Arabidopsis thaliana: one gene and its partners. The protein of the gene in region 2 interacts with the protein of the main gene of each other region in a pairwise test. Each region holds a gene or a part of one and is shown on either strand. Other genes may lie near its edges. The genes, in order: AGO1, VAP27-1, PIP3 and AT1G10180.

Region 1 (7,851 bases), on a different chromosome or scaffold from region 2:
TATATCAAAATCAAGATGACATTAAGGGATGGGAAACACAAAACTTACCAATTGAAACTGAGCGTGTGCATCTTGCATACCTGTACAAATCAAAAAGGTAGTTTAAATGTTACTCTTATTTTCCTTGCAATCTTGCAAACACTTGTAACAAGGAATATGTTACAAAGGTAAGAAATCTTACGTGTAACATAAGTTATTGGTCAGAGATTGAAGTCCATCTGCAGTAAAGTTGTTCTCATCCCAAAGAACGTGGTAATGAGCAGGTCGAGAAGTGCCCTGTTAATGGAGTTTTGATTTGTTAAACACTTCAAATAAATTCTCACCCACAAACTCATTTGAGATTGTAAATTATACCTGAATACCAGCATGACTACAGAGGTAAAAGTCAAACTCTGTAGGGTGGCAGATTTTAGAGTCCACAACAGTGCCTACAATTAACAAAGGGGTTAAAAACCAATGCAAGGGATTTTCAGCTGATTAGGTCTACGCACAAAAAGCTTGACAAAGATCCAAACTTGTCTCACCAGGTAAAATATTCCCACTTCTGTCCACCGAATGGCGATCATTGTGGTTCTGAGCAAACAGCCTCGTGTGATGACGCTTCTGCACCACCACAAATGTCACTGGTGGTTGATAACCTGCTTCCAGCGAAGCACAGGCCTGAAATGAGTTGAAATAATAATCAGATTAAACAGAAGAAAACGAGCACGCAACACAAGCCATTTGTTAGAAGTAACTGTTACCTTGCGGATGGCATCAAGTTCATAGAGCAAAACTTGGTAAAATTGTCCCTCACTGACTCCATCCCTGTGCAGAATAACCATATAATACATTTCAGAAAGAAAGACAGAAAGTTATTTAGTCAAGTAAGTGCCATAAGAAGAGTTAATACCTGTAGAAGATGATCCTTAGTGGTTTATGCCCAGTTGATCTACGGAAGGCTATGAGCAACTCCCTGTTCAAAAGTAAGGGGAGAAACGTACAGATCTGTTACTTAAGAGCAAGCTAAAGCTAAAACCCAATCACGAAAATATTAAATAACATCCACACGTACTTTATCATGCCACCAGTCACCACACCTTTCTGAGGATCCTTCCACTCTTTGAACAGATCCTGAATGAGCTCCTGCCTATGCGCTTGAGCGCAAACTAATCCAGCATATTTAGTGATTTCAGGCCAATCCTGAGATGCCACAACCTGAAAACAAAAATTTCGTTGTCAACAAAACAAGCACAATTTGAAAAGGTTAAGGCCATGAAAATAAACAAAAGCATCCATATACAGAAGTAGATCTTAAAGGAGAAGCTAACTTACAGCAGCAATAGATGGGCTTGAATCCTCTCCAGGGTGAGGGTGGGTAACATCAGCACCAAATATAATGGTGGGTCGATCACTGACTAGAGGAATCCGCCTAGATAGAGCATCAACAAGCACTGTGTTTCTTCCTCCAACCTTCACATTAATCTTCAGCGCAACATTAGCCATGTATTGTTTGCTCATCTTAAAGACATGCTTTGTCAGGCAACATTGAGAGACTATGCCGAGTTCAGTCTCACATATGCGTTTCAAATCACCTGCAATGGATATTATTAAGGAAAATAAGTTGAGAGTGTGTTCCTAAGCAGAAGTAGACAATGAAACATCCGAGACCATGGCTCATACCGTATAATGATCCATTATTATCGGGCAGAATGACAATAAGCAGATCAATTTCTTTTCCTTGGGAGAGTTTTGATGTGGCATCATGATATCTAGTCTTCAAGACCTTCTCTACTTGCTCAGGGCGAGCACTGACTGGTGGGAGGACTGGTTCCGGATTAAATGCCTGCAGGTAAGAAATAAAAAATTAAAGGGAAGGAATCAGTGTAGGAAAGGTTAATAAACTGATCAAGTTTGTGCTTCCAAAGACTCACCATGCCAGATACGTAACACATTTGAGCAAGTTCCTGACAAAATGTACGCGCTAGATTGTCCTGCACTTGCCTAGAAAAGTTGATGCAGATCCAATTATTCACCGTTCCACCATTGATCATTTTCTGCAGAGAAGACTCATATTAGCCAGACAACAGAAAACGTTGTGATCACTTTCAAAAAATAACAAAGACAAATTCAGTGTGTATCTACATAGCTACATGAACAAAATACTCTCTGCAACTAGTCAAGTGCCACACCCATACTCATATCAAGAGAATAGCATTTTAGAGTAATATGTCTCATAACAGACAAATAAATAAACAATTTTCTTGCCAATTACCTGGAAATATACAGCTCAGCCATGATTTACAAAATATTCACATAAAAATGACAGCATAGGTATATATAGGTAACACAAGCAAGAAACATGTAAGTGCATAGTTGAAAACCAGGAACATTTTCGTCTAGTTACCTTATTCATCATGTTCCATTGACCAACTTGTGGCAGACAAGTCCCTTCCCTTCCAGACTCGTGGTACTTAAGCTGCAGAACATTAAAATCAGATTGGAACCCTAATTTGAGTCATTAAGATACAGAGAAAAAGTGTAATAGCAAAGAGACAATGGGAACGATTACTATACCCATGGAGGAGGCAGTATACGAGCCTCAACAGAAGCCAGAGAAGTACTTATTTTGATGCCAAACTCTTGAGCATAATTATCTTTAGCATAATCATTGAGTTGCACCGTCTAGAAATCAGAAAATATTGTATAATGTTAGCAATAAACAATTGAGTTTTCAACAACAGCAGCCAGAAGACACACGCGCTGCTAAATTAAGAGCACAACTCTGAAGATGGTAATCTGCCTCACTATTTATGAAGTAAAGGCATCATCTCAAGGTAAATCACTCTCTTCAAGCAAACATATGCATCCAAGTAAAGAAGAAACAGGTTTTTAAGCCATTCATTCCATAACATCCTTTCAGCCACAAGTTTATATGATTAAAAACAAGTTAGATATGAATTGAGAAAATCACTTACTTCAAGTAAACACATGCAACCAAGTAAGAATAAACAGATTTTACAATGATCTATTCCACAATGAGGCTTTATCACCAGCATACATTATTTAAAACGACTATCAAGATAGGCGGACAAAAAGATACTCTTGATTCAAGTGAAGGAAAACAAAGTTATCGAAAATAAAGAAACATACCTGTAAGATATCTTTTTCTCGATCTATCGGGCGCTGACAGGTAACCTTCAGCAAAGCAGTGATCTGTCTCTCATTCAATCTTTTGGAATACCGCTGGCCTTCAACAATCTTGCATACCTGTGCAGCAACACATTAGAATCGGAAGTACTGGTGAGCTAATAAAACCTGATGACGTATTTCAAAGTTACCTCCATTGGTAAGTAATTAGGCCTATTAGAATTCCCAACTTGCAAGCATGGTAGTTGAGTGTGCTGAATGCGAAAACCATATGTTTCGTGGAAGTATTCTACAACAGATTTCTGAGTATTTCTTTCATCTACTGGGAATCTGAAAAGGATAAAAACAGAGAGTAAAAATTAATTTCATCAAGTTCAACATTCGCGAAATAAGAGTAGTAAATCTAAAACAAATACGCACGTCAATTCCCGAGTGGCCACAGCAGTCAAACCGGAAATGCGGTACTTCCGGCGCATGTTTCCTCGATGAGTCACTTCAACTTTGACACCTCTAAGAGCCTTTTTTATCTGTTGACAGAAGAAGATTCCAAGTCACTAAGCAAAGAAGAGTAGATTAATACAACATTTCACTTACTACAGAAAATGACAATTGATTCATACCTTAACACGATCAGCATCAGATAAAGGTCGAGAAGAAATATCCCGGTTAAGCAAATCACAGACAAACTGAATCACAGGGTTTGCCTCTATGAAGGCTGTCGATGACATATCTACAAAACAGACAAAATTGCAGCACAACCATGAGTTAAACATTCAAGGAGAACCAGATATCAAAAATTATTGAATGTAATACAGCAAGCCATCACACCAATATTGAGTGATAAGCCCATCTGTGTAGGACGAATGCTTTGGTAGAATCCACGCCAGCTCTCCAAGCCATCCCCCAATGATTGTTTTTTTCCTATATCAGGGGAATAAAAGGACCGGCCCACCGGAATATACCTGATTCTAACATGTTAGCAAAACTAAACCAGCTGAGACTTACAAGCATGGTAGTAAAGAAGCAAACATCCATAGGATGAGTAACCAGTACCTAGAGGTCGGCAGCTCACGAAGAACAATGTCAAGAACCTGCAGAGCTTCCTGTGGGGCATCTGATTGTTTCCCCTCCAAAAACATTCCTAGGTGATGCAGATCAGCACGTGCAACTAGCTTGATCACAACTTTAAATTCCCTTTCTCGTCTGTAAAATAGGAAAGATGTTATTATTCTGAAACTTCCTTATTAAAAAAATCAACAAGAAACCATAAGAACTAGACCTTTGACCTCCAGCCCCTACTTCTTCGTCAAGAAGATTGATTCTGAACTCCTTGGAGTTAAAGGGAAGTGGACCAGCAGTGTAAAGACTTTTTCGACCATCATACGCTGGAAGACGACTTCCAAGGTGAGAATCACGATAATTATCAACAAGTTGTTTCATCACAGCACGATTGACACCCCTTGATGTAACTTCCGGAGTAATGGTAACCTAACAGAAAGAACACAGTTGGTCAGGTAAATTTATAAATAGACATTAGATGTATGGTAGCTAATACTAAGGGAACACAAAACTCACATCATAATGGTGCAAATCCTTATCAGGCAGTTCAGCAAAGAAATGGTTAGCCTTCACAATGCAACGCTTTCCACTCTGTCCTTTACCAGGCCTCATTGGAAACTTGAAAGCCTTGCTAGAAGAAGGTATAGGCTGGATTGCCTGACTGGGAGCTCCTTGTTCAACAGAGAGTTGTTCAAATTGCTGAGCCAGAACAGTAGGTTCTGGTACCTGGGTAGGACTCACCTCAGACAGTGTAGGCTGAGAAGACACCGCTTGATAAGTAGGTGAGGTAGCTTGATGCAGCTCGGGAACTGATTGTCTCTGCGGTGGTCCAGAAGAAGGTCCACCTCCACGGCCACCGCCATACCCTCCTCGACCTCCTTGATGAGGAGGTCCTCCTCTTCCTCTTCCTTGGTACTCTTGTGGTCCTCCATACTGTTGTTGCTGTTGTGGTGGTTGCCCATATCCACGACCACCACGACCTCCCTGTTGAGGTTGAGGAGTATAACCCCTTCCACCTTGGTGTTGTCCTCCTCCCTGCTGGAAACCACCTCGCTGTGAACCACGTCCACCACCTGAGACTGGACCAGCTTCACGAGACCCAGAGCCTTCACCTCCTTCAGATGGAGCATCCGTTCTTCTCTTTCTCACCATGATGATTCCTGTGAAAATAACACAACCACCCAAAAACAGTGGGTCATTTTAAAATTATCCTTGAAAATAAGAAGCAAACATTGAAAACAAGCACAAAACTATCGAAATATAGAAGCAACAGAAGAAAACCCTAACTAGCTTCAAAAACAAACGACTCAGAAGCACGAAAACCAGTGATTAGCTAGAGAGATAGAAAACCAAATTCAACAGCCCAAAGCAAACATAGAAAACCTAGTAAGAAACAATCAAAGACCTAAACAGAAAACGAAGTAAGAAAACAAGCACGAAACAGTAAGAAATTTGAAGCAACAAAAAAAAAAAACCTAAATATCTTCGAAGACGAACACACACACCAAAACAGCTACGAAGCTAATAGATCCGAAATCGCAAAGATCAACTAAACATACAACACTATCAGTGAACCATAACACCAAAACGAAGCGGATCCACCCAATCGAGTGGAAAAATCGAGTTCATACGCAGATCGAACACAGATTAAGTGAAGAACAAACACCAAAACCGCCGCCATTTTTACCTGAAAAGCAATCTCTCGCCGGAGAAACTAAGATTGACCGAGAAAATCCGTACGAAACACCAACCCTACGTCGCTCTCGCCTCTCTGTGTTCTCTCTATATCTTTCTCTCTCTCTCTAACTCCGAACAAACGAGATAACTCAAAGAAATGAGATTTTACTGCTACACTTTAAATTCAAGGGTTCTGTGGTTAGAGTAAGTTACGGAATTACCCTCTTCATTAATAGCTGGCATATGTCGACGTGGCGAGTCAGGGTTGGGTCTTTGGAATGCTGACCCAAGGTCGTGTGTAGTCTTTCATTGTTTGTAATGCGCTGATGACGTGGAATTGCATAATGTTTTTTTAATCCGGAAAAAGAAGCTTCTCGAAAACAACAAGACGAAAAACATTTTTGTCGTTTATCTACCAAATCTTTTTTAATTTATTTTACTAACAGTATATGTATTATCCGATTAAATATGATTAGTGTGATGCGTTACCTCGATTAATCTTCAAGAGTTAGTTGCATTAATTTAAATATTTGTTTTAGACTATAATATACCTCGATTAATCTTGTAAAGTTAGTTGCATTAATTTACTATTTCAACGAGAGATAATGCATGCACAAGTGTTCAAAATTAGTAGACCGGCCGTTATTAATCTTATTATTAATCTGTAGTAACTGATTAGATCATAATTTTTGGCTTACGTTACGTATAAAGGATGTTATACAGTTAAGTACAACAGTTTAAAATTGGTACTTGTGTGTGAAGATAAAACAGTGGCTAGAGAAAATGTCGTGAGTCAAGGCGACTGATCGAGTAGTACTAACGAATTGTACATTGTCAAGGAGGATTTTTCATGCAACGAAAGGCAAAATCATGCGAATTACGTTTAGTTTTATAGACTATATATAAGATAAAGTGAATGATTATAGTATAGAGGTGAATAGAAGAACTATTTATTAACTGAGATGGGTCATGGGTGGTGGGGCAAATATGAATATAGCCATTTACTATATAGATAACTCTCTTTCGTTTTCATAGAAATATGACCTGCGATTTCGGGGAAGTGATGCTTTTTTACAGGTTTGCCAATTTTCTAACTTTAGGAATGTGGTGGCTGTCATCACGTGGTATGATTTGTTTGTTTAATTCAATTTACTTTATTTGATGGTTAGCTCTTTAATTTAGTTTCACTAGTTGATTTGCTTCTGTACCTCAAAAAAATTCATATACTCGTAACAAATCTGTATTATATATAATTGTCAAAGATGATTTATACATATATAACAAAATTGGTTGCTCGTGCGTGAAGAAGAAATATGAGCTAGAGAATATGTCACGAGTAATTACATGCTGACGAAAGGCTAAATCTTGGGGAAAACGTTTAGATTTCTTTTTGTGATAACTGTAAGTCTATCTCAAAATGATTCGTTTGCTTTGGGAAATAATGATTCTTTTCATTATAAACATTAATTATAATAATCAAACGAGAAATTAAAAGGCGAAAGATTATAATAATCAAGCGAGATGTATAGAAGAACTTATATATGATTTCTCATAACGGAAGAAGAACTTAGAACTCGTCAAGTACTACTACCTCGAGAGTCGAGATGAAGATTAACGGCATATAAGCATTGATATCAATCAAGATTGGTGTACGTAATTACGGGCACCAACGCACATGCATGCATGGCGAGTCTAGCTAGAACCGATCGAAAACGTTGGTTTACGATGGAGGTTTGTGTTCCTTATAAGAACTACGTACAGTTTGGCTCATGTTTGAGTCGATTGGTGCGGTCTTGACGAGAAACGACTCTCACGGCTCGGTTCTCTTCTATAATCAATAGATGTTTTTGTACAAGTTTACGTTTCCGTGTTAATTAGGTGAAAGAATATCTAGACACTTTACCTAACAAAAGATTGTCTAGATCATATAGTAAGGTGAAAAAACATAAAGTTGTAGACAAAATATTAGATGTTGATTGGAGTTCT
Region 2 (5,031 bases):
TTTTTGAAACGAAAATAAAAATATAGATGTACTCTCATCGTTTTAGTATCATCGATCATCATCATAAACAAACCAGAGAAACAAGAAACAGAGAGAAATAGTCTCATCGTTATACTCTCAACACATATAAAAACGTAAATTTGTTTTATCTATAATCTTTGATCAATTCTCCAAAATTTCTTCTTCTTAGCGCTGCTATCTGATCCAGGTAGTTTCTATTTCTCGCTCTTTTCTCTTGTAGTTTCTCCCATTTAGTATCTTTCTTTGCTTCAAGTTTTATTTGTGTAGCACGTCGGGTGTATGGACCAGACTAGGACAAATGAATAGTAAACCAAGAAGATGCAACAGGGTAATGGAGAACCGAGTCTTGTTGGTCTATTCGTTGTCCAAGTCCATGGTTCTTAGATGGAAACTAGAAGAAGATACTAAAAGTTGCACATGATTTAGCTCTTTCTTTCCTCATCAGTAAAAAACATAAGCATGAAACATTGCCGTTGTAGTTCATCTCTGTTCAATATTGATGTAAGAAATTATGTGGTAAAGGAAGAGAAAAGCATTTGGAACAAACATATACATACACTGACTAATGCAGACACGGAGGAAGGTTTGAGATGGAAAATGAAGTTAAGAAATATAAGAGAATTAGTGGAGAAAGAACCAACGCAAAGTCATTTGGATTACAAAAGTTGAAAAAAACATAGCAAACTGAGTTACGAAACACAAATCTTCTAGGACACCTTTTTAAGGCGAAATTGACAAATACAGAAGAGAAAAAAATGTCCGACTGAAAAGAGTTAAAAGTCTTTTTTTTTTCCTTCGTGGCGGGTGAGGGATTAATTTCAAGGTGGGTGGTTTATGTCCTCTTCATAATGTATCCCAAAATTAGACCGATGAGTCCGACCAAAAGAACGTACATGAATGGGATACCACCACTTTGGCTCTTTTTGCTTTCACGCCTTAACTGATCCTGCCACATCAAACCAAAATCTTTGTCAGATAAACAATCTCAAGATTCTAAACTAAGCTTGTGGAATATTCATACAAGACTGGTTTTGATTAATGGTATGGTGAGATAAGTCAACCATGGAAACAGAAGCCAATGCAAAAGATAAGTTAAAGCATCTCTTCACAAAAACAAATGATGACTTTAAGCATACCTTCTCAAAACCATGGAAAAACACTACAAACGCTACAGATTGCTAATCATCAAAGTAACAAGAGCATGGAGGAGATTCAGAGATAATAAAGGATCCAAGTGAGAGTTGTTTTACCAGTTCTCTTTGAAGTCTGTTGTTCAGTTGAATGGCAGACTGTTTTTCTTCGGTTAGCTTGGTAATGAGTGCCCTCGCCTGAAATCATACAAAATTCAGCGGTAATAGAAATAATGTAGAATGACTGAAGCAAAATAGTGTATAGTAAGTGGTAACTGTGTCAAAATAACATCTACGAGGATTTGGTGCACAAAAAGACAATTAATGGACGGCTTGAGCACTGGACAGGCTTCTAAAAATGTAGTGAACCTTTTAAGTAATCAACATAAAGAAAGATTCTCAACCTAGTAAATCAGCCTAAAAGGCAACTTTCCAGTAAAGCTACCTCCAAAAATCAGTTTTAAACAGAGCAAAAGCAAAAGATGATGTCACATGGTTTTGACGGTGACAAACTTGGAAGAATTGTGAAAAATACCTCAGATGTGTTTTCTTGATGTCCAGCCTTGTTGTCCACGATAAATCTCTCAAACTAAAATTAAACATGAAAATCTACATATAAATATGTCTACCAGAGAAACTGAAATCTAAACTTAAGTTAACATGTACTAACCGAAAATTCAGAACCATGTCCATTATCTGAGACAGAAGCCCTGGGTGAAGAACCCTCTTCAGATCCTTCGTGAACCGGTGATGGTGGTCGTGGTGGAGCAACATAAGTAACTCTCAGTTTAGTTTCCTCAACTCGATGTCCAGCCTCTTTGCTAAACTGCAAAATTTCATTACAAGAAACAAGAAAAATACTGCTTTTAAGTAAAACCAACACCAAACTGTAACCATCCATATGAAAACTGTAACCATCCATATAATAATATACCATCTCAGGAGTAACTTCCTTGGCTGTGACACCAGGACTAGCTATCACACCTTGAAGCAGAAACTTGTCCTTGCACTGCATATCGGAAGGAGCTTCCTTTTGAGCTTGCATGGTCACTATATCAAACCAGACATTAAGAATTCATCAAATTCCCTAATCCAATAACCAATTTAGCAAATCGAAATTAACAAAAAAAAACACAAATCGAGAACAGACCAAGAACTTCGCAAGTAGACCTCGGGAGAACAACTCCAGTATTAGGCCTAACACAATACTTTTTCGGATTCGTCGTCTTAACCTAAATCATCACGAGAAGCCTCAGAAACACGAAACAATTTTTCTCGATTCCAAAATTGATAAGGCTAAATAAGAGAATTATAACCTTAAAGGCAACATTATTGTCGGTCTTGTTCGTCAAATAGAGAGAGCAAGAGATCTGCTTCTTCAATTCAACTACATCAAATCAGAGAAGAAGCTTAACACATAGATCTGGGGCAATAAGACATGCGAAATATTGAAAGAGTTATGAATAAAGCTTACAAGGGAATTGAAGATCGAGAGGCTCGACGGTGAGAAGCTCGCTGTTACTCATCCCGATCAGATCGCGGTTACTCATCCCAATCAGATCGATGTTACTCATCCCGATCAGATCGCCGGAGATTCAAATCGATTTTCCGAGAGAAAAAAAAAACGGTTTCCCGGCGATTAGATTCGTCCCGTGACACCGTCTCCGGTTCAGAGAGAGAGCAGTCGTCGATCGAGAGAGATTAGACAGAGCTAATGAATAGAGTGGGACATCGCTATTTGTCTTGTTCATTTCTCAAGGGTAATACTGTCAATTCATTTAAAATTGATAAAAACGCAAACGCGCCCTAATCGCAAACGCGTGGAGATGAATTACAACAACAACAATTCAACTAAAGTAAAGAATATACATTATAATCTGATCATATTTCACAACGTAACGTATAACTTTCTTTTTTTTACTGTTACCAAGTACTCACCAAATGCAAAAACCTATTACTTATAAGGCTATAACACAGTACATATATTTTTCTTCTTCTTTCTGACATGACTTAGTAAAAATACAAAACCATATAAACTAGTCTTATTCGACATTATGCTCTACTTTCTTAAGAGAAACATTTTCATCATTTTTCGTAAATTCTTAAATGTCTTTCTTTGACAGGAATCTGTGTCAACCTTTGCATATTCTCAACCTTAACGTCAACCTATCAGCCTTTAATATTGAAATGAATAACATCACATACCTAACTAAAAGAGCGAATATGATCATAAAGAATATGTGTTTTTTTTTAATCCTTATCACCAACCCACGAATAATAAAAGCTATACAGTGAAGAAAGAGTTACAAATCTTTGACATGACTTTAAAAACTAAACGAAGAAACATTTATCTGTCTTTACTTAGAAGCAACAGATTGTGGTTGCTGACCTGTTGTTGTTCTAGATGCAAAACCAGCAAACCAAGCAACTCTCATGAGTTGCATTCCCAAGATCAATACCCACCAAGAGACAAGCCCACGAAGCATATGAACCACCCAAACCGGTGCGTTGACCTCTGCACTAAGTGTCAACCCTCTCATCAGTTGCAAGATTCGGTAAGCCTCGTAGACAACTGGTGTGACTAGCCAGACCGGTGATTGCCAGTGCCATGTGAGGATCTCTGTTAATGTCTGAACAGCAAGGAGAATGAAGTACGGGAAGAGGATAACAGCGGACGAGAGGAAAGGAATCTGGGGCTGGAGAGAAGCGAGAAGGCCAGATTGGGATCCGAAGAGAAGTAACATTGGGACTAGAAACCCGATTATGAGTGAAAACATGTTCCAGAACTTATAGCTAAATGGTGGTTTGCTGTTGCAGGACTGTGATGGGTCTTTAGGACGTGCGCAAGAATCAGCCATTAAGAGGAAAAGGGTTGCTCCAAGATTGAAAATGCAATCTAGACCGATCAAAGAAAGTAGACTAACCACGTTGGAACCGAGAAAAACCGATGACAACGGAAGCCATAAAGTAGGCGCCATACCGCTTGTGAGGAGAACAGATGGACCCAAAAGCCATATTGGCCATTTAAGTACCTGAACTTGAGAATTAGTTCGTTGTTGCGCTGACATATCTACTTTCTCTTCCTCTGCACTCTCGGAGACAATAGATTCGAACACATTCGCGGTTTTGTCCAATACTATATCAGCAGCTTCTTCTGCAGAAGCATGAATGAAAGGTGACGGTTCCCACTGAGACAGCTTTGGTGTGCATAAGACACGGAGATTTCTGAAACGGAAATTACAAGATCCAGTCTTTAGTTTCTGCAACATATTCGGATTCTTGAGACGGACTCTTGGAGTCATAGTGCATAGAGACTTTGTAAGAGATACCATTCCTTGGCTCACCATTGAAGTCTCTAAAAAAAGCTTCAAACTCTGTTCTTAACATAAACAAACAAAACAGAACATTTCAAAATCATCAGGACCAAGACGATACATGGACACAGGGGAAACACTTGAAGCTACTAAACCGGATAATCGATATCAAATCAATACAAGTCAGAATCAAAACCGGTAAGTGAAGCAATTAAGCATAAGGAGGGATAAACCAAATTGAAGTCGATTATCAAAATATATACCGATCAATTTTACCATGAATTCTCGGGAAGGTAATCACGATAACATATAAGGAAATCGAATTAAAGAGTAAGAAGCCGATATGAAATCGGAAAAATAAAATAAAAACACTCACCGGCGAATCGCAGAACGGTAAGATCCCTAATCCGTTGGCTGTTTCTTCTCTTAACGTCTCCGGAGAGAAAAATCTTTAGAATAAACTTGAATGTGACGTGTTTGGATACTAAGATAATCATGTCCGGAACAAAAATACAAAGAGCTACTATGATTATACGACGACGTGTTGATAACTTGAATAGTCGGCC
Region 3 (4,300 bases), on a different chromosome or scaffold from region 2:
CATCCCATAGACAAATTTAGTGCTTATTGCTTCCATGAGCATTTTCTTTTTTTTTTCTCTCTTTAATCAAATGCATTATTCAATTAAGTTGGTAAAGTCTTTTATACAAATAATTTCCTAATACATCCAAACACATATGCGTTTGGGTGGGTCTAAAGACTCTTAGCCAAAAGGAGTCTACTATATAACAATAACAATAACAATACGGTAACTAGACGCAGAAAAGTTACCCATGTGATAAACACATGAGCTACGCGACACGCGGCCTAAGAAAAGTTAGAGTGCGGTGGAAAAAATGGGTTTAATGTCTCGTTTCTTGTCTGGTTGTTACAACTCTATTGGCTCCACTCCTTTTTATCCTTTCACAAAAACAACAAAAGGTACTCGCACGAGTTCTTTTTCTTTTAAAAACAATACTAATTCTAACAAGTAACATCGAAAAAAAAGACTAAAGCAAATGGAGCGAAAATAGTTGTTTTCTTGTCAACTAACGAAAATGTAACCACATAGCAAATGGAATCCAATATTTCCTTCTCAACACGTGTCAATTAATGAATGGTTTACATATGACCCGATGGTTTAGAGTCGACACGAGGATAATAACCAAAAGACCCACACACCATGTTCAGCCGAAATTTGTATCTTAATTGGACGCTAGCTGTAATAATGTACATTGAAGGATCTTGTGATGTTGTGAATAATAAATTCCAACTTGGATTGTTCGATATTTACGAACTGACATGAAGAGAAAACATGAATTTGTAACTACTAAGAGAAACCAAAGGCAAACGATTAACAAAGACAATCAAAAACTAAAGAAGGAAATAGAAGTCACTGAGCCATTTCATAATTAACATCAATCCACCATCTCTCTCATTACACACAAAAGAACAACAAATAATAATTAAAGCATATAAATCTTAAAGTTGTTTCTTGACATTATCTTAAAAAAAGCCTTCATTAATTGGTTGCGTTGCTTCGGAACGAGCCCAAGGCCTTAATTGCTGAAGCTCTCAATATGTATTGGTGGTAAGCTGCTGCAGCTAGTGCTCCCAAGAACGGACCAACCCAAAAGATCCACTGCAAAACCAAAACCAACACAGAACCAACATTAGGACATGAAGTCATGAATGATTAGTGAATACCTAATCCAGATAATAACTAAACACTTACTTGGTCATCCCACGCCTTCTCGTTGTTGTAGATAACAGCAGCACCAAAGCTTCTAGCTGGGTTGATACCAGTTCCAGTAATGGGGATAGTAGCCAAATGCACCATGAACACAGCAAATCCAATTGGAAGTGGAGCCAAAACCTAATCACAAGAAAACCCACCACACTTTATCAGAATCTACAAAGTAAAGATCCTTAGAGATTCATACATACTTTGTCATTACACCATAAAAAGATTCAAACTTCATCAGAATCTACAAAGACCCATTTTATATTCATACTAACTTTATCATTAAATCCTAAAAAGATTCAACCTTTATCATAATCTACAAAGACCCAATCAGATTCATAGTAACTTTGTCAAAAAACTCAATTAAAGATTCAAGCTTTTTGAGACTTACGGGGATGTGAGAGTCACGAGCGCTTCTCTTAGGGTCAGTTGCAGAGAAAACGGTGTAAACAAGGACGAAAGTTCCAATAATCTCAGCTCCGAGAGCAGTTCCTTTGCTGTAACCGTCAGCTACGGTGTTAGCTCCTCCACCAAGAGTGTTGTAAGGAGTTTTCATGAAAGCTTTCACGAAACCCACACCACAAATGGCTCCAAGACACTGAGCTATCATGTAACCAAGAGCTCGCACCAAAGAGACCTTACGGGCCAAGAACAGACCGAAAGTCACAGCTGGGTTAATGTGACCACCTACGAGAAGACGAGAACAAGAACGAGATTAACAATAAAACCAACGAACCAAACAAGTAAAAGTTAGGGTTTTTGGTGGGATTCAAACTTACCAGAGATACCGGCGGTGCAGTAGACGAGGACGAAGATCATACCACCGAAAGCCCAAGCGATACCAAGTAAACCAACGCCGTCACAAGGACCGGTTTGCTTCTTGTGGCCGATGACAGTAGCGACGGTGACGTAGAGGAAGAGGAGTGTAGCGATGAACTCAGCGATGAGAGCTCTGTAGAAAGACCAGGATTTGAGCTCACCCATGTCGAGAAGAGGAGCTGGTGGAGGATCCACGTAGTCTTTTCCATGGTGGGTTTTGCCTTCTTCGCTCACTTCTTTCGACATCTTTGTTCTTTTTACTCTCTAGCTAGCTATGGAGTTTGTGGTGCTGTGTGACGACGACAGTGTATCTCTTCTGCCATTTTAAAGGGGAAAAAGGAAACCCTTGTAATGCCAGGGATAAACCAAGGGTACTTTCGGTATTACGTACTATTTGTATAGTCTACATAATTCTGCTTATAATCATTATTAGTACGATTAAATAGTTAATAACCCTCTAAACTAACTTAGTACTAAAAATATAAACTACTAAATGTTCCTTGGAACTTTCCAGTTTTAGTTAAAATCACATACGATTAATATGCATTATTACTGACAAAATAATAGTCAAAATTATCACGAATGTTCCTGCAAAATAATAGTCAAATTTGTGTTTTAATGCATTTTTTTCTCTTGCTAACATCAATAGTTATATGCATTATTACTGGCCCAATCAAATTTTTGTTCTTGTACTGTATGATATAGTGTATAAAATAGCAATCAAAGTGGGGTATAATTTGCATGGCCAAATCTTTTGCAGTTCTGTAAAATGTGAATATTTTTCCTACTAATAAATATGGAACAATGGGATAAATACACAAATGTTTAAATAAATAAAAATAAGACATGTGTTTTTGTAGGTTTGTTGAATATTTTTTTGGGTAGTAATAATTTGAAAAAAAAAATGGGAGATAAAAGTAGAAGGTGGTGGGGTCCAGATGTACAGATAAGCCATGTGAGGGTTAATGATAGAAATGAGGTGTATGGTTTTCTCGTCAGCCTGTCATCCCAAACTCTCTTCAACGGTTATCTCAATATCTTTGTCTTTTTTTCCAAATCTTTTTTGGTAACATTTTTTCAAATTAGGTCAAATGTTTGTAACATATGATAATCTGCTAAAGGCAACTGTACATGAAAAAGATTAATAATCTACGAAGAAGGTATATTCGCGGCAATTTTTAAAAAGAGTTCATATACCAGCAAAAGATAAGAGTCTATTAATTATGGTTGGTGCCGTTTTTTTGACGAAACTTGTATAGACAAACATTCACCCCGCATATAAACTATATAGTAGTCTATGCTAATTTATACTCACATTAATGTGTTTGTCGTTGAAATTTGAAGACTATTTATGGATTATAATCAATTTTAAAATTTGGTTAAATGATGTATGGGAGTATATACTAATACTAGTGCATCTTATTCTTTTTGATCAAAAAATTTATCTACTCATTTGCTATTCCTTTTATTTTTTTCCTTTGAGAGAGCCATATTAATTTGAATGGTTATGTTTGTATATAGCAATACGGACGTGGCATATTAGAAAGTTGATACAAATGTACATTAAAACTTAATGGTCATTTTTTTCTAAAGTTTAATGGTCATTTAGATTGAGAATTGCATAAAGAAAAATCCATAGTGCAAGCTCACAAGGAAAAGAAAAACTAGCATAAATAGTGGACTGACGGATAATCCGAAGTGCTGGCAATTTAGGAATCCCGTAATGAGTGTTAATATCTAAAGCTTAGTTTACTCTTTTCCTTTCACATTTTTTATACGTTAATACGACGTTTGTCCTTATCCTCGTAGCCCTAATCAAAATTATTTATTTTGTTAATATCCCTAGCCAATTATTACTTAATTTACTTTATCACTTTGTGTAATACTTAAATTTTACGCAAATGTGATTTAGATATATGAAATGGAAGTAACTTTACTTCCTAAGTCGACCCACGATAATATCATTAATTCAAGTAAAGTACGACAAAGAAATATTTGATTTGATATTATGCTGCCTTTGGTAATGGAAATGCCAGGTCGATGAGCAATCATAGAAAATGATGATTGCCTTCCTCTTTGTCCATGAAGAAGACTATACGATTTCGTATAACAAAATTATATCTGCTAAGTTGTGGTAAATTTATTAAATATACAGTTCAGGCAACATTACGCAGTGCAAACATTAAAACCACCAATACACATTTTCATTTCAATTGAGTTTGAAACTAATAAATAGGGAGCCTGCGGTTTCCAAATAGTGAGATATCGACCCTAGTAGTAATCAATAAGATTTCAAGTT
Region 4 (5,542 bases), on a different chromosome or scaffold from region 2:
AATCTACGTAACAATAAAATCTTACACAGCTACAACGATGTTGAAATTAACTAAAGCCAAATCAAACGAATCGAAAATTGATAGCAAGACGCCTAAACTATTCCTCCTTCTTTGGGATCTAAAAAAGGGGGTAAAATCAAAGTGCCCTATTTTATCATATCTAAGAAATTTTGGTGACCAACACCAACCAACACACAAATTTTGGCTTCGATATTGCTGAATCAAAGAGAACGATAAAACAAATGATTAGAAGCTCACAACCAAAGAGGGGGAAAAAGTTTGGTACCTGACAAGAATATACGAAAGCGTATAAAGAAGGAAACAATCGCCGGAAGAATCAAATACGCAGGAGATTCCGATTAGTCTCCCTTGTTTTCTCAGGGAGAGAGAGAAAGAGACTGTAGGAGAAAATGGAGCGATGAGGAAGATTATATATAGCGACTGAAAGTGATAGACCGCCTTGCTCCCAAAGGAAATAAAAGATAGAGAGAGAGAGTCGCGTACGACTTTTCTTTTTCACCGGCTTGTCTGAATTATTTTATGCTTGACAAACCCTCAAGAACCGCCTCATCCCTAATGGGCTAACAATGGGCCTATACTAATTGACTTAAACCAATCTAAACCAGTAATTTAATTTGCAGATGATTTCGGTTAACTTTATATATATTAACTTGAGAGTTTTGAGAGACTTGACTACAGGATACAAACTACAAAGAAAGTGGTCAAGACTCAGAATCGGTGAAAGATGGACTCTCTAGGTCAGCCATGCTTGCAGAGGCAAATGACTCGAACGAGTCCACTGTGGAGAGTGAAGATGTATCTTCGGAATCTGAGTCGTCATCCATCTCAGGGAGGACGATGTGATGATCGTCTTCTTCTTCTTCTTCACACTCATATTCTTCCGGTTCTGAAGCATCCTCAGACCCCATGAGTAGCCTGTTGATAGCTGACTTGGCGGCTTCTGTGAACCACTCTGTCTTCGGGAGTGAGCTGGTGAAAGAGAATAATACACTTTTTAGGTAATTCGTTATGTTGAGACCGAGTTGGAAGAAAATTCAAAAAGAGTGTTGTTTCAATTACCTTTGTGGGTTGATGCCTCTTTCCGAGAATATGTTGATGGCTCGATTGATCACCACTGATGCATGGTTCTGAACTACTTTAAATGGATAACCTGCAAACCTGGCTATCTCCACTGTGAAGTTCATGTCGAGGATCAACTGCAACACGTGACAACAAAACTTCAACTTTCAACCCCAATCTTCTCAAGAAATGAACTTCAACATCAAGTTTCAATTGTTTCCCATTTCAAATTTTCAATCTTTGACTGCTGAGCCTGAGATCAGAGAATAGCTGAGGTATATAAGAGTGGTGAAAGAGAGTGTTTCTACCTGTTGCAATCCAGATGGCTGAAGTGGATTTGACTCGTCCTCGAATGCACTCCAAAACTCCTGCTCGTTTGATAGCCAGATTATAACCGTCTCTGTTAATCTCGCTAGTAGAATCTTTTGCAGCTTCTCTTTACCAAGCAGAACATCCCCAGCAATTATGGCCAACTGTTGTAGCTTAGAAAACAATGCCTGCATAAGAACAGACACAGATGATTCTGTGTGCTAAAACTTATAAACTGGGAACTATAAAACTAGATCAAAGAAGAGGGCGAGACCTGAAACGGTAAAGACGGCAGATGCAAGTCATCTGGTGTTTCGGTTAAATAAATGAGTGCGTCTAATCGCGTTAGTCCTTCCCTAGAGTAGATGAAGCTCAAGACAAACTGCAGACAGAAGTAGTTTCTGAGTTTGTCAAATGCTTGAACCATATGGCGTTTCCATTCTTTCAGTTCCGGTGCAGCACTACTGTTTAGAGCGGCACTATTCTCACCTTCTCCTCCGCCATTTTCAATCTGGAGTTTCCAGACTTTAACAAGTGATCTTGGTAAAAGTTCGTCAAGTATTGTAAACGCAGCTCCAAGAAGCGCAAGCTGCTCAGAATCTGTCTCAGCTCTAGCGAGTACGGTATTATCTTGGAGCTCAGGTAGACCATCCTCATCTGAATGGCCAGGCAAGGCTTTGATCAGAAAGTCGATGTATTTATCATATAGTTGCAATATCCTCGTTAGTACACTCTCACCAAAGTGTAACACAACTAGGTGTGTTAACTGCTCAAGTATGTCCTGAAAGAACAAATAAAGCTTCTATAAATTTATGCCAACAGAATCAAAGAAAATAGTAAGATCAGTGTTCAAAATCAACTTACTTGCACAATTTGCATGAATCGAATGCTACAATCAGTCATCATAGTATCTGAAGCGATAGCGAATTCAGATAATATTGTCACAAAGTCAGAGGGTGATTCCAAGCCCTCATCAGTTTCATTCAAGTCAAAGATAACCCTTCGAGCCCGTCTAAAATTCAACTCCAACACTTCTTCAACATAAGGTCGGAACAGCACCAAAAATAGCTTAGACAGAAATAAGCCTTGTGGTTCCAACACTTTGCAATAGTTAAGACAATCTTGAAGACATATACTGGCTGCCCGCAATGCAGAAGCTGTTTCGGAAGGAGAAGCGTTTTCTTTAACCAACCGCACCAAATATTCAACTTCCCTCTCTGCCCATTGAACAACTTTGTTGGAATATGCGGGATTATCATCGTCACCAAACATGGCTGCGGATTCTTTTGTAGCCACTGAGATGTTAGAGAAAACAAGCTTAGAGAGAGTAGCAGGAAACGTGTTTGGGCAAGTCAAACATGAAGGGAGAAAGGCCTCGATTCTTCTGCGGAGGCTTGTGGCGTAAAACTTTAGAAGCAATTGGTGAGCTGAAGGTCCTTTTCCAAGTCTGATTAACCCAATCAATGCATGCTTCAATTCAGCTACACAAATCGAGGGTTGTTTAGCGATCCTAAGGAGCTGATCCTCAAGAACCGCCTTTCTTTCCATAAAGGCAGACTTGTAAGAAGACATCTCGACTGATCCTTTAAGATCTGGACTGCTTCTTTCCTCAGCATCCATTGCCTCCAGTGCTTCATCCACTTTATGTTCAGCCAAAAGAAGGTCAATTTTCTCCAGGAACTCAGACTTTGGATCGGTTACTTCATTAGGCAAGGGGTCCTCTTCGACTTCAGCGTCATGTACATCACCAGGTAATCGATTCCAATCATCCATCTCACGGCAAACTCCAGCCATCAGATCCTGCACAAGAATCCCCTGAGAAGAAATATGTTTCCGTAGCTCAACCAACTCATGCTCCATCTCCACCGCTTCTTCAGATATTCTACACAAACCAAGCATAAAGAAATGAATCTCAGAAACTAGCACAACGGATACAAAGAAACATGACGTAACCTTTGAATCCGGAATTGCAGATTCAAAACTCGCAAATGAAATAACAAAGAGAAGTTAGTAGCTTTTATACATTACCTTAAGAAAGCAAGGTACTTGGTACGCATATCACCGCACATATTTTCCACAGCATCCTTTAAATCCATAAGCTCACAGCAAAGCTTTCTAATCCCCTGCATTGTTCAACATTACCAGATCAACGAGCATAAACCCATGGACCAACAGGAGAAGTAATCATGAACAATCGTAGGTTCAACAATTTCAATCCAAGACGTAAAATTCGAGGGCTACTGATTCTTAATCCAGATTAATTCGAAAGAACCCATTTGAGATAAACTATATCCGAGTGCAATGAATCAGTTCAGAGAAGGAAACAACTCAGAAAAAAGAAAAGGAGAGACCTTTTCGGTGAGAGACTGGTGAACGGAATCGATCTTTGACTGAGGAGTGATGCTTTCTATAAATGGGTACTCGTCGTCTTCCTCGCTGCTCTCCATGTCTCTCGCTCTATCTATTTCCCCTTCAGTTTTCCTCGGAGTCTCACTGTCTCAGACACGGTTGCCGAAAGAAGCACGATAGTGATGCTTTGGACTCTCTCTGCTCTCAAGACACACAGATTCGTCGGAATTGTAACATTGCTTTTTTTGTACACAAAACGGCATGTAGTGTAATATCTCAAGCCAAAGACGGCACGATGGTTCTTATGGTTTTTGTCATACCTTTTTCGCCATGAAGAAGTAAGTCTACACTATTTCCTAAACTTCTACTACAATTTTAATCTCAAAATCAAAATTTTGTTTAACCACAATTCACAAAACGAAATATCTCGTTGACTTCAGGGTTGACCAATTCATTAAAATTCAAACCTATATGATGACCAATACAAATTGCCTGCTCGAGCTGGAAATAGAGCACAAGAGGTAGTAAAATAAAGAAAAAGAAAGGTTTTGACATTTGATGCTGGTTTTCTCCGGTTCGCTCTTAATTCCTGGGTATTTGATTCGCTTTGTGTTGTTCTCTGCGGTGTTGGATAGTTCGGTTCAAGGATTCTAGGATCCATTGAGTGTTTTAGAAATTCGATTTGGTTCTCTCTTTTTTAAATCCCTTTTTAGTTTTTTCCTTCAAATTAATATATATTGATAATGGGCCTTCCCGACAAAAATTGGGCTTAGCCATGGACATTATAAAACAGACAAAGCAGGTACAAAAAGGATTTTGGTTCTTTTTTGGTCTATTATTATTGGTTCAGATATTTGAATGGAGAACCAAAGTGCTAAACAAGTAAGTAAGTAACACAAGCTGTTAAATTTCTTCACGGGAGTATTTTCTTTTTCGTCACTATAGTAACAAATGTTTTCTCCACACACAAGGCCATTCGGCCCATTCCTATATTTTATGTGTTCCAAAACATATTTTATAAAACCGTTCTTCTATATTTATTAGTAACACTAGTTAATCACCCGCGCTATGCTGCGGTATTTTCAAATTTTTTGTATCGTTTAATTTAAATATAATTTTTAATTATCTAATCATTTACTTATATAATAAGTAATTATTCTTAGTATTAAAATATATTTTTTCTAACAACATTCTCAACAATGCATTATACACACAATTCATAAACAATGTTCGTCTTAAACTAATTAAATAGAGGGTAATATTGGGATTCTCGAAACCTAAGAATTTGATGATTAAACTTCTTACATACTCTTCACCCTCGGCGATTTATTATATAGATATATAACAATATGCAAACTATTCAAACTATTAATTAATCCATGACTACTATACACTCATAATTTGAGTTAAGATTACAGAAAAAAATCTTTTGAGTATGAGAAAACCAATCAAATTATTTTATTGAAAAACATTTAATAACAAAATAAATTTAGTATTAGTACAATTAAATATGTAAAATTAAATAATAAATATATCATTAATCTATAAATTAAAAGTTGAAGAGCTTACATTAATTATTCAGTGGACACATGGCAAATGTTAAAGTGATGATGTGTCAATCATATGGAGAGAATTGGTCAACTTTCATATATATGATTTATCTCACAAAAATACTATTTTTATTTTTACCTTGTTTTTAAATTATAAATTTTTATTATGAAATTTTTAACTCGTCGAGTACATCTCTTATTAGTTAAATATTCTTACATTTTTACAATTGGTTCCAATTATATTTTCTAAAAAT

Evidence for each region.
Region 1: the proteins of VAP27-1 (region 2) and AGO1 interact in a two-hybrid assay, tested with the Arabidopsis thaliana proteins (one study listed by BioGRID).
Region 3: the proteins of VAP27-1 (region 2) and PIP3 interact in binary tests that used the Arabidopsis thaliana proteins (3 or more experiments, as listed by UniProt).
Region 4: the proteins of VAP27-1 (region 2) and AT1G10180 interact in a two-hybrid assay, tested with the Arabidopsis thaliana proteins (one study listed by BioGRID).

The regions. Positions count from the first base shown.
Region 1 is NC_003070.9:17,886,553-17,894,403, forward strand, and holds the start of AGO1 (Stabilizer of iron transporter SufD / Polynucleotidyl transferase), read right to left. Parts: upstream 6,045-7,851; 5' UTR 5,876-6,044; intron 5,349-5,875; 5' UTR 5,341-5,348; coding exon 4,705-5,340; intron 4,618-4,704; coding exon 4,409-4,617; intron 4,333-4,408; coding exon 4,183-4,332; intron 4,098-4,182; coding exon 3,958-4,097; intron 3,860-3,957; coding exon 3,750-3,859; intron 3,657-3,749; coding exon 3,550-3,656; intron 3,460-3,549; coding exon 3,321-3,459; intron 3,250-3,320; coding exon 3,133-3,249; intron 2,665-3,132; coding exon 2,557-2,664; intron 2,459-2,556; coding exon 2,387-2,458; intron 2,037-2,386; coding exon 1,914-2,036; intron 1,826-1,913; coding exon 1,663-1,825; intron 1,575-1,662; coding exon 1,315-1,574; intron 1,198-1,314; coding exon 1,055-1,197; intron 956-1,054; coding exon 893-955; intron 808-892; coding exon 744-807; intron 661-743; coding exon 525-660; intron 429-524; coding exon 355-428; intron 277-354; and 4 more.
Region 2 is NC_003074.8:22,398,231-22,403,261, reverse strand, and holds VAP27-1 (vesicle associated protein), read right to left. Parts: upstream 3,153-5,031; 5' UTR 2,726-3,152; coding exon 2,626-2,725; intron 2,539-2,625; coding exon 2,468-2,538; intron 2,384-2,467; coding exon 2,302-2,383; intron 2,202-2,301; coding exon 2,086-2,201; intron 1,978-2,085; coding exon 1,822-1,977; intron 1,761-1,821; coding exon of another isoform or gene 1,741-1,760; coding exon 1,687-1,740; coding exon of another isoform or gene 1,593-1,686; exon of another isoform or gene 1,350-1,592; coding exon 1,272-1,349; intron 968-1,271; coding exon 854-967; 3' UTR 538-853; downstream 1-537. Other genes in the region: AT3G60590 (cytochrome P450 family protein), read right to left, coding at 3,509-4,530, 4,842-5,031. UniProt on the Arabidopsis thaliana protein: Part of a membrane-cytoskeletal adapter complex that forms a bridge between the endoplasmic reticulum and the plasma membrane. Associates with microtubules.
Region 3 is NC_003075.7:16,706,619-16,710,918, reverse strand, and holds PIP3 (plasma membrane intrinsic protein 3), read right to left. Parts: upstream 2,559-4,300; 5' UTR 2,248-2,558; coding exon 1,962-2,247; intron 1,870-1,961; coding exon 1,574-1,869; intron 1,315-1,573; coding exon 1,174-1,314; intron 1,081-1,173; coding exon 961-1,080; 3' UTR 512-960; downstream 1-511. UniProt on the Arabidopsis thaliana protein: Water channel required to facilitate the transport of water across cell membrane. May be involved in the osmoregulation in plants under high osmotic stress such as under a high salt condition.
Region 4 is NC_003070.9:3,337,659-3,343,200, forward strand, and holds AT1G10180 (LOW protein: exocyst complex component-like protein), read right to left. Parts: upstream 3,971-5,542; 5' UTR 3,837-3,970; coding exon 3,741-3,836; intron 3,513-3,740; coding exon 3,418-3,512; intron 3,272-3,417; coding exon 2,254-3,271; intron 2,171-2,253; coding exon 1,664-2,170; intron 1,578-1,663; coding exon 1,389-1,577; intron 1,218-1,388; coding exon 1,081-1,217; intron 991-1,080; coding exon 723-990; 3' UTR 527-722; downstream 1-526.